Linked DNA regions of Alligator mississippiensis. The protein of the gene in region 1 purifies or fractionates together with the protein of each later gene. This does not show direct contact. Links are inferred from orthologs where the notes say so. Each region holds a gene or a part of one and is shown on either strand. Other genes may lie near its edges.

What was found.
Region 2: the proteins of SKP1 (region 1) and MTUS1 purify together in Homo sapiens (affinity purification with mass spectrometry; 3 studies listed by BioGRID and IntAct, with this or other methods). This does not show direct contact. The link is inferred for Alligator mississippiensis from reciprocal best matches to the Homo sapiens genes SKP1 and MTUS1.

Annotation. Positions count from the first base shown.
Region 1 is NC_081832.1:70,029,980-70,037,603, forward strand, and holds the start of SKP1 (S-phase kinase-associated protein 1), read right to left. Parts: upstream 3,049-7,624; 5' UTR 2,941-3,048; intron 1-2,940. UniProt on the Homo sapiens protein: Essential component of the SCF (SKP1-CUL1-F-box protein) ubiquitin ligase complex, which mediates the ubiquitination of proteins involved in cell cycle progression, signal transduction and transcription.
Region 2 is NC_081825.1:66,037,684-66,045,281, reverse strand, and holds the start of MTUS1 (microtubule-associated tumor suppressor 1), read left to right. Parts: upstream 1-4,505; 5' UTR 4,506-4,603; intron 4,604-4,642; exon of another isoform or gene 4,643-4,723; intron 4,724-7,598. UniProt on the Homo sapiens protein: Cooperates with AGTR2 to inhibit ERK2 activation and cell proliferation. May be required for AGTR2 cell surface expression. Together with PTPN6, induces UBE2V2 expression upon angiotensin-II stimulation.

The DNA of each region.
Region 1 (7,624 bases):
TTGTATTTTTGTGAAAGCTTGCCCATGGTATACTCAAGAGAACTTTCAGCTAGAAGTGCACTGATCCATCGGTCCAATATCAGATAAGCACCAATATAAAGAAGATTGGCAGCATCAGAAATTGGCCTGATATGGCTGATAAATGGCCCATGCATGTGCAGTCACAACACAGCACGTAGGCAGCGAGGATAGCCCCGCAGCTTGAAAAGCAGTGTCCAGCTAGTAAGTCTGTTGTGGTGAAAGGGACCGGGGGGGGGGGGGGGAGGGGGGTGCACAGATCAAGGCCCCCCTGCAGAGAGGGAAGGAGAGAGTGGGGCTGAGGCAAGCAGTGCCCGGCCACAGCTCATCCGGGGGGGGGGGGGGGGGGGGGTGGCTCCCACCCGTGCCACTCGCTTGGGGGGGTGGGGAGGAAGAGGCGTGTGCCCCTGGATCGGGGCAAGTGGCAGTGGCAACACTGGAAGTGGAGGCTATGGGGGGGCTGCAGCCACCCTGAAATTCACTGTAGTCCCCCCATAGCCCCACTCTCAGAGCCACCTACCCCAAGCTCAGCCCCAGCCCCGCTCACCCCACGCAGATCCAGAGGCACACACCTACTCCCCCATCCCCTATGCCCTGCCAGACAAGCAGCTGGAGCTCCCAGGAGAGCACCAGACAGACCCCTGCACTCCCCAGACAAACCACAGCTCTGTTCTGCCCCAGCTGGGCAGCCCTTGCCCCATGATAAGGGAGGGAGTGGGGCTGGGGCACCTGGGTCTGCCCCCCACTCCTTCCCTTCCACCATAAGTCTTACCAGCTGGATGCAGCTGTATCAGAAATCAGATCCATATCAGCTAATATGCCTCCTCAAAAATTAGCTATCTGTATGAGCCCCAAAAACCTCTATCAGTGCACCCCTACTTTCAGCACCTGACAACACAATTGCTTCTTAATGCATTTACCTGTAAGAAAAGGCTCCTGTAAAAGGAGTCTATTATAACAAAATTTAAAAGACAGTACATTCTCAAATCCATGCTGCAACCAGTAATGTTTAAATAACTTACTGGTTAAGCTCCTATAAAAAAAAAAGTTACAAGCATGATGCAGATGTTACTGGATAAGGCTCTGAGTACCATGCATGCGATTAGTTTAGCGTAAGAGTCCCTTCTAGCCCATGAAGTCTAGAATTGCTTCAAATAACGTTCTTGAAATCAAACTGCTTATTTTGGCAAGAATCAGCTTTAATTAGTTACAACTAAGATGTTTGTTGTAAGGTTGTATACATCTTGTTTGCCGGTTCTTTAGCCCTTCGCATTAGGGTGCACACAATGGGATTAGTCTAAAATAATTGGCTTTTATACAAGTTAGATTTGTTTTAGTAATGCATTCATCCAATATGTTTCCTTGCAAAAAAGATAAAGTAAAATAAATCAGTATGAAGCCATTTTTGGCCTTTATATGTTTTGTTTTGCAGAAGACTGTCAAAATAGGTTAGAGATCCTTGAGCAGGCAACTGAAAAGCAACCCTTAAGCTACGCATCCTCAAATAGTCTGCAAACCCATTTAAGAATTGTTTGGGAAAAGGCTTTTAGGGTAAACAGAGATCACTCATAGATATTACTCAACTGATGCCTGCTTGAAATACATACACAAAATAAAACAAACAAAACAAAAATACACAAACTCTTGAGGGGCCTAGGACCTCATGGATTCAAAATTACTGCAGTCAGAGCAGCTGACCAGCTATATGACTTTCAGCTCACTTCCATCTGCTTGACAGCGAGCGCTTGCTGTAGCTCATCACAGCACTGCAACAAACGCAGGCCAATGGAGCCCAGCCAATGCAGGTTGCTCAGCAGCAGACGGTAGCCATAGATCTTCATGTTTGAAAGGAAGAAAGTAACCTCTTCAAGTTTACTTGGCAGAGCTGCTTCATGTTGATAAAACACTCTACCTCCAAATGCAAGTATTACCACATCTTAGAGAGATAAACTTAGAAGAGACTAACAAACTCATTAAAGTTGGGCCCCATGTTGTAGCAACACATTGCTGTGTCATCCCCAGGAAAAAAAAAGAGGCAAATATTGAATTTAAAAATGTTAACTTCTTACCACCAAGAGGTCCAACCCTGCAGTGAGAAGCTGAGTTTGCTCAAGTACAAGTCTACCTTCCCAACCGCTAGGTAAAATAAGACTTCGAACAGGCAAGACAACTTACAATCGAGGCTCATCCCCAATTTTATGAGGGTTTTTCCGTTGGTTTGTTTTTGGACTGCGATAGGTTTAGGCTCTGTTTGTATTGCGCAGGCGGTCACTTAAACTCCAGATCAAGGAAATTTAAGCCAGTTGTTTTACCTCGATTATCTAATAGAGGTTTTGTTTTGCTTCAAAGATAGACAGACGGACAGACGTGGGGCTTAAAAACACCGCAGCCCATCCCCAACGCACCACGGCTATATCATCCCCGCGTTTCCCACCTACCGGCGCCGCGAGCCCTGCGTTTGCTCGGGAAAGAGAGTGAGATGCTCGTAGCAGTTTTCACCCCAAATGCACTAGTCCTCGTTAGGAGCCGGAGCGCGTCGACCGAGGTTTTCCCTGCCCGGGATTGACGCTCCTGCCCGCGGACCCGCTCCCCTCCCCTCCCCCTCGCGCTCAAGCCCACGACTCGGCCGGCTCCGACGGGCCACGAGGAGCCGGGGGGGGGGGGGGGGGTCCCCGCGGCCTCTCGACAGGGCTCCAGGGTCCCCCCCTTGAATGACCCGGGGGCTGAGCCTGTCCGTCCCTTCAGACCAGGGCTGCGCTTCCGCGGCCGCCGGGGCCGGGCGAGAGGAGCAGCCCGCGGACCGGGGTGACTAAGCAGAGCTGCGGGCGGGGACCAGGCCCAACCCCCCCGGGCTAGCTCCGCAGCGGCGGGGAAGCAGACCAGGCCTCCCCCGTCCCCTCCCCGGGCCGGGCCGGGCCTCACCGTGCGGCTACAACCGGGTGGCGGCGTCTCCTCAGGCCCGACTGCGGCTGCAGCGGCGGCTTTTATGGGGGCGGGGCGGGAAGGAAGGACCCCAACGAGCGCTGCCTCACAGAGCTCCGGGGCTGCCCGCGCAGATCGCCTGAGCGCTCGGGGCAGGGAAGTGCGGCAAGCTGCACTTCTGAGAGGAAATAGGGGGTGAGGGGGAGGGTTTTCGAAAGGTAAACATTGGGGGCGGGGGAGTGCAGGAGCAGCGGGGTCCTTCAGGCAGAGGCTGTCCGCAGCGGAGACGCGCTTGGTAACAGCGGGCGCCTCAGCATGGAGAAAGGGGATGGAGGGCGGGCGTCCTCACCCGGGTGGGTTTTCATCGCATAAGCTCGACCCTCTACCTCAACCCCGGGAGCAGCTCGTGCAAACCATGAGAGAGCCCAGCTTCCACAAGGACCAGGGCAGTATAAACAGATGCTATTTGCTGTCATCATCCCATTGCATGTCTGACTCCTGCAGGGAAAAGCAGAGTGCAAACTTGATCGGCTATGCCTTCAACTCTAGGGTTTCCTCCGAAGGAGTGAAATGTCCCTGTGTTACATTGGGAGGAAGGTGGCTCAAAAAGAAGAAGACTACTGCGGGGGCTGGGGGGGAACGACTGTTGAAGGGCAAGGATCAATTGGCCAAGCAACGGTTAAATCTAAAAGCTGCACCGACAGCTAGAATTGAGTGTGTTAATGCTGTAAATTACGTTAGAAAGGGAGATGCCACCTCTACTGCAGTGCATGATTGCTGAGGAAAGATTGGCCTAGTGCCCTCCCTTGCAAATAAATTGCCAAGCACTGTTTGGCACGGTTCTGTATTTCAGTGCTTGACAGAGAAACCCTGAATTATTTTCAAGGCCCAGGTAGGTGCCCCGGTTGCGAGCCAAAGCACTAAAACTCAAGATGCAAGAAAAATTATGGTGAAGGAAAGTTAAAAGGCAATATATTCATTTAATATCATTTCAGTTTCTTTAACTAGCATTTCAGACAAACGCAGTGAAATCTTTGGCAACTACCCAGCAGACCAGCGAATGAGGTCTCTACTGTCTAATACATGGTCTTAGAAATGCCAAGGATAATTTAAAGCTGCTGCTTCATACAATTGGCAGCTGTAAAGTGGATATGCATAAGCAATACTAGTTGGAGGACATTTTCAACTGATGCAGGTTTGTGTGGCACAGAGCTAGATGGTGGGTCTGTGAGTGAGACCACAATACATTTAAGCAATGAGCCCGCAAGGAACTCCATGCAGGTGGATGCAACCTGCCCACCCTAACATTAGCAAAGCTTCGTGTAAACAGATGAGGGATGGCAAAAATGGAGCTCTTAAATAGGATCAAGCTCTTAGAGCTAAAACCTCAGGGTATTTAGGTGTCAGGGCACATCCAGCTGAGCATGGACCTGTCTGTGGAGCCACACTACACAAGCAGGCGTTCCTTGAACTACTACTTTGTGGCACAGGTGTTTTTTGACCCTGGGAGATCCTGGGGTGAAAAAAGCCCCCACCAAAAAAAAGAGGGATGGTGCATGTGGTGGCAGTGCACGCCATCCAAAACTGGAGCTTGGCTGGCCGGACCCATGCTCCAGCTGTCGACCAAGCTCCCTGCCACAGAAGCACCATGGCTGCAGGTGCTGGAGGTCCCCAGGGCCCCAGGTAAAACTGGCACATATGGGACCAGCACATATGGGCCAGGTAAAGCTGGCACATACAGAGCCAGCACAGTTGCTGGCCTCAGCTTCCCCTACCCCACCCAGGGTAACCTGCCACGTGCCAGAGTGCACATGGCACGGGTGTTCCCCAGGGACAAGTAGCAGTGGCACAAGGTGTCCCCAGGGAAGCACACATTTCTGCTTGTCTGGATGCACCCATAATGCCTAACACCTTGGGGAATCCTTAGTCAGACCCTGTATACAATGCAGAGAGAATTAGATGCCTTCAACAAGGATCCTGAGAATCCTGAGCAGGGACCCAAGAAAGATGAGCAGGAGTGAAATAAAAAAGAAAGGAGCACCTAAGCCACTGACCTGATTAGCATTAGAGAGTTTCCTCTTCTTGAGACCTTGCTGTCCTAGAATGAGGTGCCTACAGAGGCAAAGTCAGGCCACCTGGAATTCACCCCTGCTTTTTCAGAAGTATGCCCTACCACTGCGTTTGGTCTTGGGGATATAGAGACATCAGAAAAAGCTGAGAGCAAAGTGGACAATACAGACAATATGGCAGCCTGGTAGCTGGGATCATCAAAAAGTAAACAGCATGGTAAAACAGATGGCAAAGACCTAAAATTATACACATGATATAAAAAAAGACATCTCAGTTTAAGTCTTCCTGTTCTGGCACACTGTGTAATATCCTGGTACTCCCTCTGACATTAAAGCGTGTGTGGGAAAGATGGTTGGTTGGAACTCAGTAACTGAGAATTTCTGGGATATTATAGATACCAAAAAAGTTCTCATCCTTCACTAAGGCAGCTGAGAAAAGGATAAAAGTTATCAGAGATAATAGGCAGAAACCTGAGCAAGTATGTTAGAGAGGTCCTAAGCACTACCACAAACAAATCTAAAAAAAAAAAAAATCTTAAAATCAGGGCCTTCTACTACTGATAGACTATTAACCAAAAGTGAAGCAAAAAAGAAGAATGAATGAAAAGAAATGGATGAAATGTTTTAGCTACTGAGATAAGTATGAGTTAAATTATGTCACTTCCAGGGCAAATAATCCTAGTATTTTTCAGCATATAAACAGACAACAGCATTGGGTGGAGGGCAGAAGCCCACTGAAGAACTGATGTATTTCTATTCTATTTCTGGCTCTTCTGCTGGCCTCTTAAATTAATCACTTCCTCACTGTCTGCCTTGATTTCCCCACCTGTGAGATAGGGATAATGAAACCAACTTTCTTCTGAAGTTATTTGGAATCCATCCATATAAGCACCTGAAAGGACTAGTTATGGTTATAAATCATATATTATAAATGCCGGATCCTTGAATCCTATACAGAATTATAAGCTTTAAAGTTTCATATGCAGTACACAGCATGGAACTCAGTTTGCCCTTCCTGATTGCATGAAAGTCAGAGACAACTGCTAGGACTGAGCCCACAGTTCAAGGGGTCAGACTTCTAGACATCATGCTCAGCCTTCAATACCATTTGTGGAAAGTCAGGAAAAGAAGGTGTTAATTCAGAAGCACCTATTTAGGATTAACAGATTATTTTAGTAAATCCTACCTTTCCCACATGTAATAGAAATTAAAAAAAAACAGTTTTTTTAGGGATATGAACAGGTAGGAAAGCAGGTATGTGTACATTAATTTTCACAGCCACTGAACCAGTCAAATGCACTTGGACTTACTCTTCTGAGCCATTTGGCAAAAGGTTATTGCTTCACTCACAGGTAGACTTCTACGATTTATTCTGATTTCAAGTAACCCTTCAACCCCATAGTGCAGCTACCATATACCCTTATTGCATTTCTTGTTATATATTATTTATGCAAAAAGACTGTTGATAGTTCAGGAGAAAATAAAAAATGTGCTGCCGTGATTACAGCACTGCCAGTTTCCATTACTTTAAAAAATTGTCTTGCAGTTGTTCATGACTCAAATAGAAAGCATTCTATTCCTTGTGCCATGACAATGTGAGCCAGCTGTCAATAGTTAAATACTTTTTTCTCGCCCTAGCAGAAGATATTCCAGATCGATAGATCCCACTATGCAGCCACAACTCCACAAAATTCTAATGAAGCCATACAAAGTACAAACTATAAAATCAGAGAACAGTAAGATTATGGTAAGAGACAACAATGTAAAGGTTGAAGCCACTTCTGGAAACCAGGAACTTTGCAATTGTAACCTCTGCTCTGCCACAAACTTCATGCAGAGCCTTGGGTGAGTCACTTGCCCATTCAGTCTCGTTTTCCCTGTTTGTAGAATGGAGAATACAATCCTTACCTACCTCCCAGGATGCTGCAAGGATTAGAAGTGCTAGAGAAATGCTTTGGAGAGGTCAAATATTTTACTTTTAAAAAGAAAATTCAAAATGAAGCTGTAACTCAAAATGTATTTGTAATGCAGACTGACTGACCCATCCTTTTGTAGATATTTAAGACACCCTAATTACCTTGGCACTTCAGCAGTTCTGTCCTAAAGTCAGGGTACATACATTCACCAGTTACTAAATTATTGCATGGTCTGCAAAGTTGAGTAAACAATGCAATAATAATACTAACATAACTTGCTTCCCACAGAAAAAATCAGGAGATTTAAGTCCAGATATTGTAGGTATGAGGACTACATGAGTACCTAGAGAAGTATTATCAGATGGAATAAAACAAACACACACCATGGACACCCAAACTTTAGGCATGGGAGTTAAAAATTACCTCTGAGATATGTACACCTCAGGTGTCTGTCTGGTACTAAGAGACAGAGCTGCTTTAAATGGTACAAAAGTTCTGCAAGGTTCGAAAGAGGCTGCTTTTGAAGTTTAGGTAAAATTGGGGGGAGGGAGGGGTGGGAATTAAAGCTCCCATTACAAGGGGAGGGGACAAATTAATCTTAAAACCCTTAAAGTTTGTAGGCCACCTTTACCTACCAGACACAAACATGGATATAAAACCACGCATGTCACCTATAAATGGGAAAGTTGGAAAAGCAAC
Region 2 (7,598 bases), on another chromosome or scaffold:
CAGACCAACACAGCTACCAAGTACACCCCTGCAAAGAGGAACATTTTTGAAGTAAAGCACTTCATTTTGAAGAATCTTCTGAAATATCTGCACTTTCCAACAGTTCTCACGTATCCCACAGTGCTTCACTTACCCCTCCCCCCCCCCCCCCCCTTTCCATGAAGGACAGTGTGATGGACTGCCAAAGAAAACTCTCTTGTGAATTTCTAGCAATCAGAAGCCAGGTCATGCATGCCTTCCCAGCCACTTAAAAATGCTGCAGGAGGTGTGGTTGGCACCACACATTTGTACAACACTTCAAGTGTGATGAATTTAAAGACTCTGAGATTTAGAGTGCTTCAAATGCGTATCTGTCTAGGCTTGATGAGTAACTATTTCCCCCTAAATTATCCCATTAATGAGTAATATCCAGCTGACTCTAAGGTACCATAATCCTTGCCCTGGATTCACACTTGTTTAGAGATTCACTGAGAAGGTCTAATGTGTGCATTTCTCTCATTAACTTGCATGCACAGAAAATTCAAGGGAATGAACAGAAGTGAATGCAATCTGAAGTTGCCTTGACTCTGTAGACTCCTATCATTTTAGGGATTAGACATGAGCCAAAATGGGGCATATCCTATGTCCCCACCACTCCAAAAGGGTTTTAGAGACATTCTGTGATGGGAACATCAGACTTTTAAACCCCTACAATACCCATTCTTCATTGAGATGACTAACTCCAAGAAGCCAGACAACTAGCTTTTACACTAGGGTAGAGTAAATAATGTTGTAGCCAAATGTGTTGAAACCACAGACTCGGGATCATTTTTATTAAAAAGAAGGAGCTCATTTCATAAGATTGGGATCAAGTCATCATGCTAATTATTTACCTGTAATTACGCAAACTGGACAGGTCTTACTTGTAAGTGTACAACTTCACCAGATACTGTAGAGGTTAAGGTCTTAGTAGGATTAAAGGAGTAGGCATTATAAAAATTCCTAAATGAACAAACAAGTGTAATTCAGGTCATAAGTCAAACTTCAATTGCAGGTCCTAAGTTCAACTCCTAGTGGTAGTCATTACCCATTCTTAATGTTTATTTATTTTAACTATACTTGACTATATTTAAATCACTGCAAACTTGACTATTGATATGTGGTGCACATATTGTACATTGCTTTTCTGCAGCCTCCTTGAACTCAAAGATCTCAAATTAAGTCATGCAAAATACTTTAGGTGGTTTAAACAGTTATAGTCTAATAAATCTTTTTAGAAGTTTATAACAGTGTTAGCACTCAAAAGGGATTTAATTTTTATGTCACTTAAAGAAATCTATCCCATCCTCACCACTTAAAAATTTAGGAAATTCAGAGCAAAAGCATTCATTAACTTCATATTAAAGATAAAGGTGATCAACAAAAGCCATAAAACACAAGTCAAAATCCCACTAGCAGTATTAATTTAGTTATGTTGCGTTTTTGTTTTTTTTTATTCCTGTTTTTCTAATAAACAACAAGATATAATATAGAGGTTATAAAATTAATCCAAGTCTATACTTGATCATTAATTTGCAGAACACACTGAAATCTTAACATGTGACTTCTGGAAATGAACAAGGGGGGAAAAAACACAGAGCAAGGATCCCAGGTTAGAAGAACATGTTCAGTTCTGCTGTAAAATACTGAACATCTTGAACTCCCAGGCGATCAAACCATTCAATTTGGCCATGGTGATTTGGAATAGAATCCAGGTTTTAGGACTCTCTGTTCTATGTGCTACACTAATGTACAGCTACTTTAAAATAAGATAAAATTGATTTGATAGTTATTCATTGTAATTGTAACCAACACAAACCAGCAGCTGTGTGAAAGTTTGGACTGTGTTACCAGCATAATCACCAGCTTGCAAGGCTAGGCTTGTACTGTGGGCAACTCCCATATTCAATATAGAGCTTTACTAATTAATTTGCATACCTGCACATGCCTCAAGATTGGCTGAGGAGATACAGTAGGTCTGTGAGAACAACATTCATCCTAAGGTTTTTTAAATTTTGTTGGTAAGTATTCCCAAAGAAACCTCTCCACAGCACCCTGGGAGGGGGGAGGAGCAGGGAGCGGGGATAATGTATGTTCCAAGGAAAACAATAAAAAATCAGTATACTGAACATGTCTTGGATAGCAGAATATCCACCACTCCCTTTGGCAGGTACTTTCACAGAGCAAGGCTCTGGTCTCAAAACATAGGTAGAGATCTGTGTCTGCCCCATTTCTCTGCAGAATCAAACTTTAGAACACTTTTTCTGATAGTTTTTGTAAGTGTTTCTTCTCTTAATTTCATCCCATTAATCTCAGTCATTGACTCATTATGCTTTCTAACTACTTCCTCTCCCCTCCCCCCCCCCTTAATATTTGTTTAGGGTTTATTTTCATTTGATTTACAACACTAAAGCATTATTCTGCCCTTTTATTGTGCTTTTCAGCAATGCATCTCAAATCCTTTAGGAAGGGAATACATTACTACCCCTTTTCACAGATGTGGAAACAGGGGGCAATTGTTTAAGTGACAGAACCAAAGTCACTTGAGGGTGGGGGGACATGATAAGGATTTGCAAAATCCTAAATGGCAAAGAGAAAGTCAATAGGGATTTATTATTTACTGCCTTACACAAGACAAGAACTAGGGGCCACAAAATGAAACTAGTAGGTAGTAAGTTTAAACTAGAAGGAAGTTTTTTCACACAGTCATTTGAGTGTGGAACTCATTGCCACCAGATGCTGGAATTGCAAAAGGAATTGAACCAATTATTGGAGGAAAAGGGCATCAGGAGCTATTAAGCATAGTATCATAGTACTTAGGGTCAGAAGGGGCCTAAACACCAGGTCTGACCCCCTGCCCCGGGCAGAAACAGGTGCCGGGATCATATCACCCCACCTGTCCAGCCTCCTCTTGAAGATCTCCAAGGTAGGAGAGAGTACCACCTCACTTGGGAGCCCATTCCAGAGCCTGGCAGCTCTAATTGTAAAGAAAATGGGAGCAAGGACACCAGCCACTGAATTACAAGTCCCTAGACCTTACTTTTTTTTTATTAATATATATTGTGTTTCAGGTGAAGTCAGCCAAATCAGTTTCAAATCATATTGATTGAGCAGAACTCAGTCAAAAAACCATATTGATTGAGCAGGCAGAACTCAATCATTCTAAACACCATGTATGGCACTACAACTGGTGAGCATCCTCCATCCCAGACCTCTCAACCTGGGACTTCGGATACTCCCAAATCCATTGACAGGCATCCTACGTGCAGGCCCAAGTCTGGAGGTCTTGGGATTCAGATGTCCCCAGAAACTACAGGCAAGCATTCTCCATCCCAGACTCTTTAGTCTGGGACTTCAGATACTTTATTAGAAAATGTTGAAGTTTAAGGTTACAAAGTTAAAGCTAAAAGAAATCCAAAGGACCCAGAGTGAGGGGTTACATAAAACAGGATGGGGGTAGGGAAGGAAAGGTAACTAGATTACATATAAAAAGTGCAGTCAACTAACCCAAGGGGCCAGGGGGTAGGGGGAGAGTGATGCTTTTATAGAGTCAAAAATATACTGGGACCAGAGCAGTTCCCCTGGGCCAGGATGCACCAGTTGTCCATGGGAGGGGTGGCGAGTGGCCGGAGCTGATGGTGCTCAGCAGTGGTGGTAGCGGGGTCTGTATGGCACCATCTGTAGGACCCCCCCGCAAACCATGGGGCTTGCCCAGGTTGTTGCCTTGATTTGGCCCCTCGCAGTGATGGCCCTGCTGGAGACCCTGCACAACGATGCTACGTTTGGGTTTGGAGGTGGTTTACAGAGAGTGCACACTCGGTTACAGATAGTAGGATGCGGGTGCAATTGTGGGGGCTGGGAAGAGCCCAGGATGGGTGAGGACTTTCTCACTCTATCTTAGCCAAATGATCCCCAAAAGTCCCTCATTCCCAAACTCTGACAGATGGCGCACTGCCAATTTAAAGCAATACAGCCTTCAGTGCCACCAGCAATTTTTTCAGTTCGACCTTGGGTACCATCAACACATTTTCTGTCATAGCAAGTAATTATAATAAATCTGCTAATGTGTACTCCTGACAGGTTGTGTGCTACCACTGGTGGGACTGGTACCACAGATTGGGAGCAGCCGCCCTAGACCTTAAAATAAATGCTGCAAGTGAGAGAGAACCAGTGGGGGGGAAATAACGCCCCCCATTCCCAGTCCCCTCTCCCCATCAGCCTCCACCCTGCCCCCGGGTGTCACAGATGACGGGGCAAGATGGACCCGTGTAAAGGCAGCTCTTAGGCTCACGCAAGAAGAGCAGCAACACCGAGCGGGAATCTGCAGCCCCCGGCTTTGTCTGCCGCTGGGCTGTGGCTGGCGTCTCCCCTCGTGCGGCTTCTCCTCCCGCACGTGGGGCCGCGGGCTACTCCTCCCGCCCCGGGCCGGGGGGGGAAAGGTGTTTCGGTGCGTGACGTCACAGGGCGGCACAGGTGCGGCCGGGCCCGGCGGGGAGGGGGGAAGGAGTCCCCGGACGGGCGGAGCAGGGAGCGAGTAGGCGCTGCTCATTGCTGCACGGCCGGGGGAGGCCCCGCGCACCGGTAGGTGAGTCTGCAGCTCCTTGCGTGCGCTCCCCCTTCCCCCCTCCCAGTGGTGGCTCAACTTCGCTTTGAACTTCGCCCAGATCCGGGGGCTGCGCTGCCCCCCTTCCCTCCCAGTTGCAAGGTAGCTGGTTGCAGTGGGTTGCGGGGGGGCTAAGGCCCGGAGGCCCGGAGGAGGGGGCTCGGATGGCCCCGCTGCCAGGGGGAGCCTCCCAGGTGCAGTGCGCTTGTCCCCGCCAGCCCCGGGCTCCTGCCCCGCTCTCGTAGTTGCAGGGAGCCCGGCCCGCCGGCCTTGCAAAAGCGGCGTGAGGTACGGACGTCTCCCGCCTGCTGCTTCTTTTCTTGGCTCCCCCTGGCTGGGGCGGGGCGGGAGCCTCCTGCAGGACGTGGGGGCGCCGGTGGATCTGCTCCTCGCCTCGGGGTGCTCAGCGGGGCAGGGAAGGCTTCAGCGCAGTCATTGGAAGCGCGTCTCTGATGCCCTTGAGGGAGCGCTCCCGGCCCTTGGCGCGCTCCGTGGCAGCTGCTCTGCCCGGCAGTGCTGTGGCAGGCGAAGCCCTGGCTGGGGCGGGGGGGTCTAGTTGGGCTGGTTCTGCTCGGAGCAGGGGAGTGGACAGGATGACCTCCTGAGGTGCTTTCCAGCCCCCTGTTCCCCATAGTAAGGAAGTCACCTACTTCCATTTGGTGCCTCCTATCAACCGTCTCCGCCAGGAGCTTGCGGGGCTGCCCTCTCAAAACCTGATTAGACTTCACCCTGGGGTTTTAGCCTTTCTCTTAGATGTGGCTTCTTAAAAATGCTGCAGCTGAGCAGTGTGACTCTCCCAATCTTCTTGGGGCCACATTGGTCTTTGACCACAGAAATTTCTTCAAGACCCCTCCTCTGTCCTTCAAAACACTTCTATTTGAATCAAATTCAGTTGTTTAGACTGAGAGAGTTTAGTTTTTGGGAGGCTGTGAGGACTTTGCGTGGTTCTTTGGGAGGGTTGGGGGTTTTGGCTGGCATGTTAGTTTGTATTTGGCTGCTCTTTCTGGGTTCATGGGTTTTGTTGTTTCTTGGGGGGTGGGGTTTAGGTTGCTTTGTTTTTTCTTTTTTATGGCCTACCCCATAACTCTAAAAGTTGCTAAAGCAAATACGAAGGGTTTTTGAAGCCAGTAAACTTTGCAGAGCAGGCATCTCTGCATTTCCCTTGGGTTCGTTTCCTCCTTGGATCCGATAGCCAAGTATCAAGTAATCAAGCATGTACTTGTACATGATGTGCTCTGAACTTATGTACTGAACGTATAGTATTAAACATGTTACAATCGTCTTTCCCCTTTTTGTGTGTGTCCAGTAGTTACTGCTAGCATGGACCTGGAACCAGTTTGCGGCAATAGGAGCCATTGCATTCCTGTTACCTTCTTCTTTTTTTTTTTTTTAAACATATTTTGAATGTTTGCACCTCCATATGTTCTATAAATAGGAATAAAAGATTGGCAAACGGAGGAGAGCTCAAGTTTGAAAAGGGCATTCAGCTCAAATGTGATAACGTTGTTCTGAGGCCAAGAAAGGATCAAGGTAAAGTATTTTGGGTTAACAATCAGATCAGAGGATAAGAAATGAACTGGAAATAATCATTAAAGAAATGCAAGTTTTCATTTAAGAAAAGGGCGTGCTACTGTGTCATTGGTACAAAGATGATGAAATATTTTCTTGACTGGCTTCACAGGTCCAGAATATGAAGTACCCACCTGGGTTAAACATCCACCCAGACAGTTTTTTCAAGATCAGGTTACAGTAGAACAGGTGTTTACCTTTCACTGCAGTGGATATGTAAAGTAGAAATTGATGGTTTACCTGCCTTAATAAGTAACAGAGGTACCTTTGGCTTCTGTGTTTGTTTTTCTGCTAGTCTGAGACTTAGCCCTGTTTTCAGGATACCAGTGTTACTGAACCATGAAAATACAATTTGACCATTTTGTGCTGTTTTGTTGTGCCATAGATCAGCAAATGAAGATAAGTTACTGGTGAGCTTTCTTCCAACATAAGTAGAACAGTAATTCCTGTGGTTTCCTTGGGTGAAACCTCTCATGTTCTAAAATAAGTTGTTTGATAAGTGAGTAGTTGGGCTTTGAGATGCCCAGTTCAGTCCTAAAGGATTTTAAATCTGCTCATAACTAAAAATGGCTACAGCTCATTTGTCTTGGTTAATAAAACTTTACTTTGTTGTAAACTACATTGTTCTAAATAGCCTTTGTGTGTACTGTTATCCAATAACATCTTATCACTATAGCAAGTTCTTTTGAAATATTGGTCCTTTATAGAACATGGGTTTTATTTTATTTTGTAATGCTTTCTAACTTTCACTAAAAAAATGAAAACTAATGTTATATCTGGCAATAATATGAGCTTGTTGATGGTTAAAATGTATAAACAAATGTTGTTGGATTAGGCTTTGTTTTAAACTGCAGATAAAATGAAGTGGATAAACTTGCTGAAAAATAGTATTTATTTACCATCCTACTTGATGAATGAAGACTCCATAATTAACACATTCTTTGAATAAATATTGAATCCATATTATAAATGGCTTCTGGATATTTTATTAAGAGAGCTTTATTCCTAATTCTTAGAGATACCATTTTAATACAAATAATATGTTTAAGTATAATGTGAGTTATTTCTTATTTTCTGCATCTTTAAGCACTTGAGGCATTGATTTCATCCATAAGAGTAGCATTAATGTGAATCCAGCAGACTGAAAAATGAGATTTAAATACGTTTTAGTTTCTAATTGCTTTCTTGTTCTTTAGCTTTAGGGCTCTTTGTGGTTTCAATTTCTAACATTGAAAGCCTGAGCCTTATTTTTAAATGTAAACAAATTCTTCTAGTGCCAGGACTCCAGGAGCTGGGACTTTAGAGAGAAAAGTAGGAATGGATATGGGGGAGACCACAAAGCACTCTGAGACTTGTCATTAAAATTGCAAGAGCTGGCAGACTACATGAAGGCCTAGTAGTTGCTTGA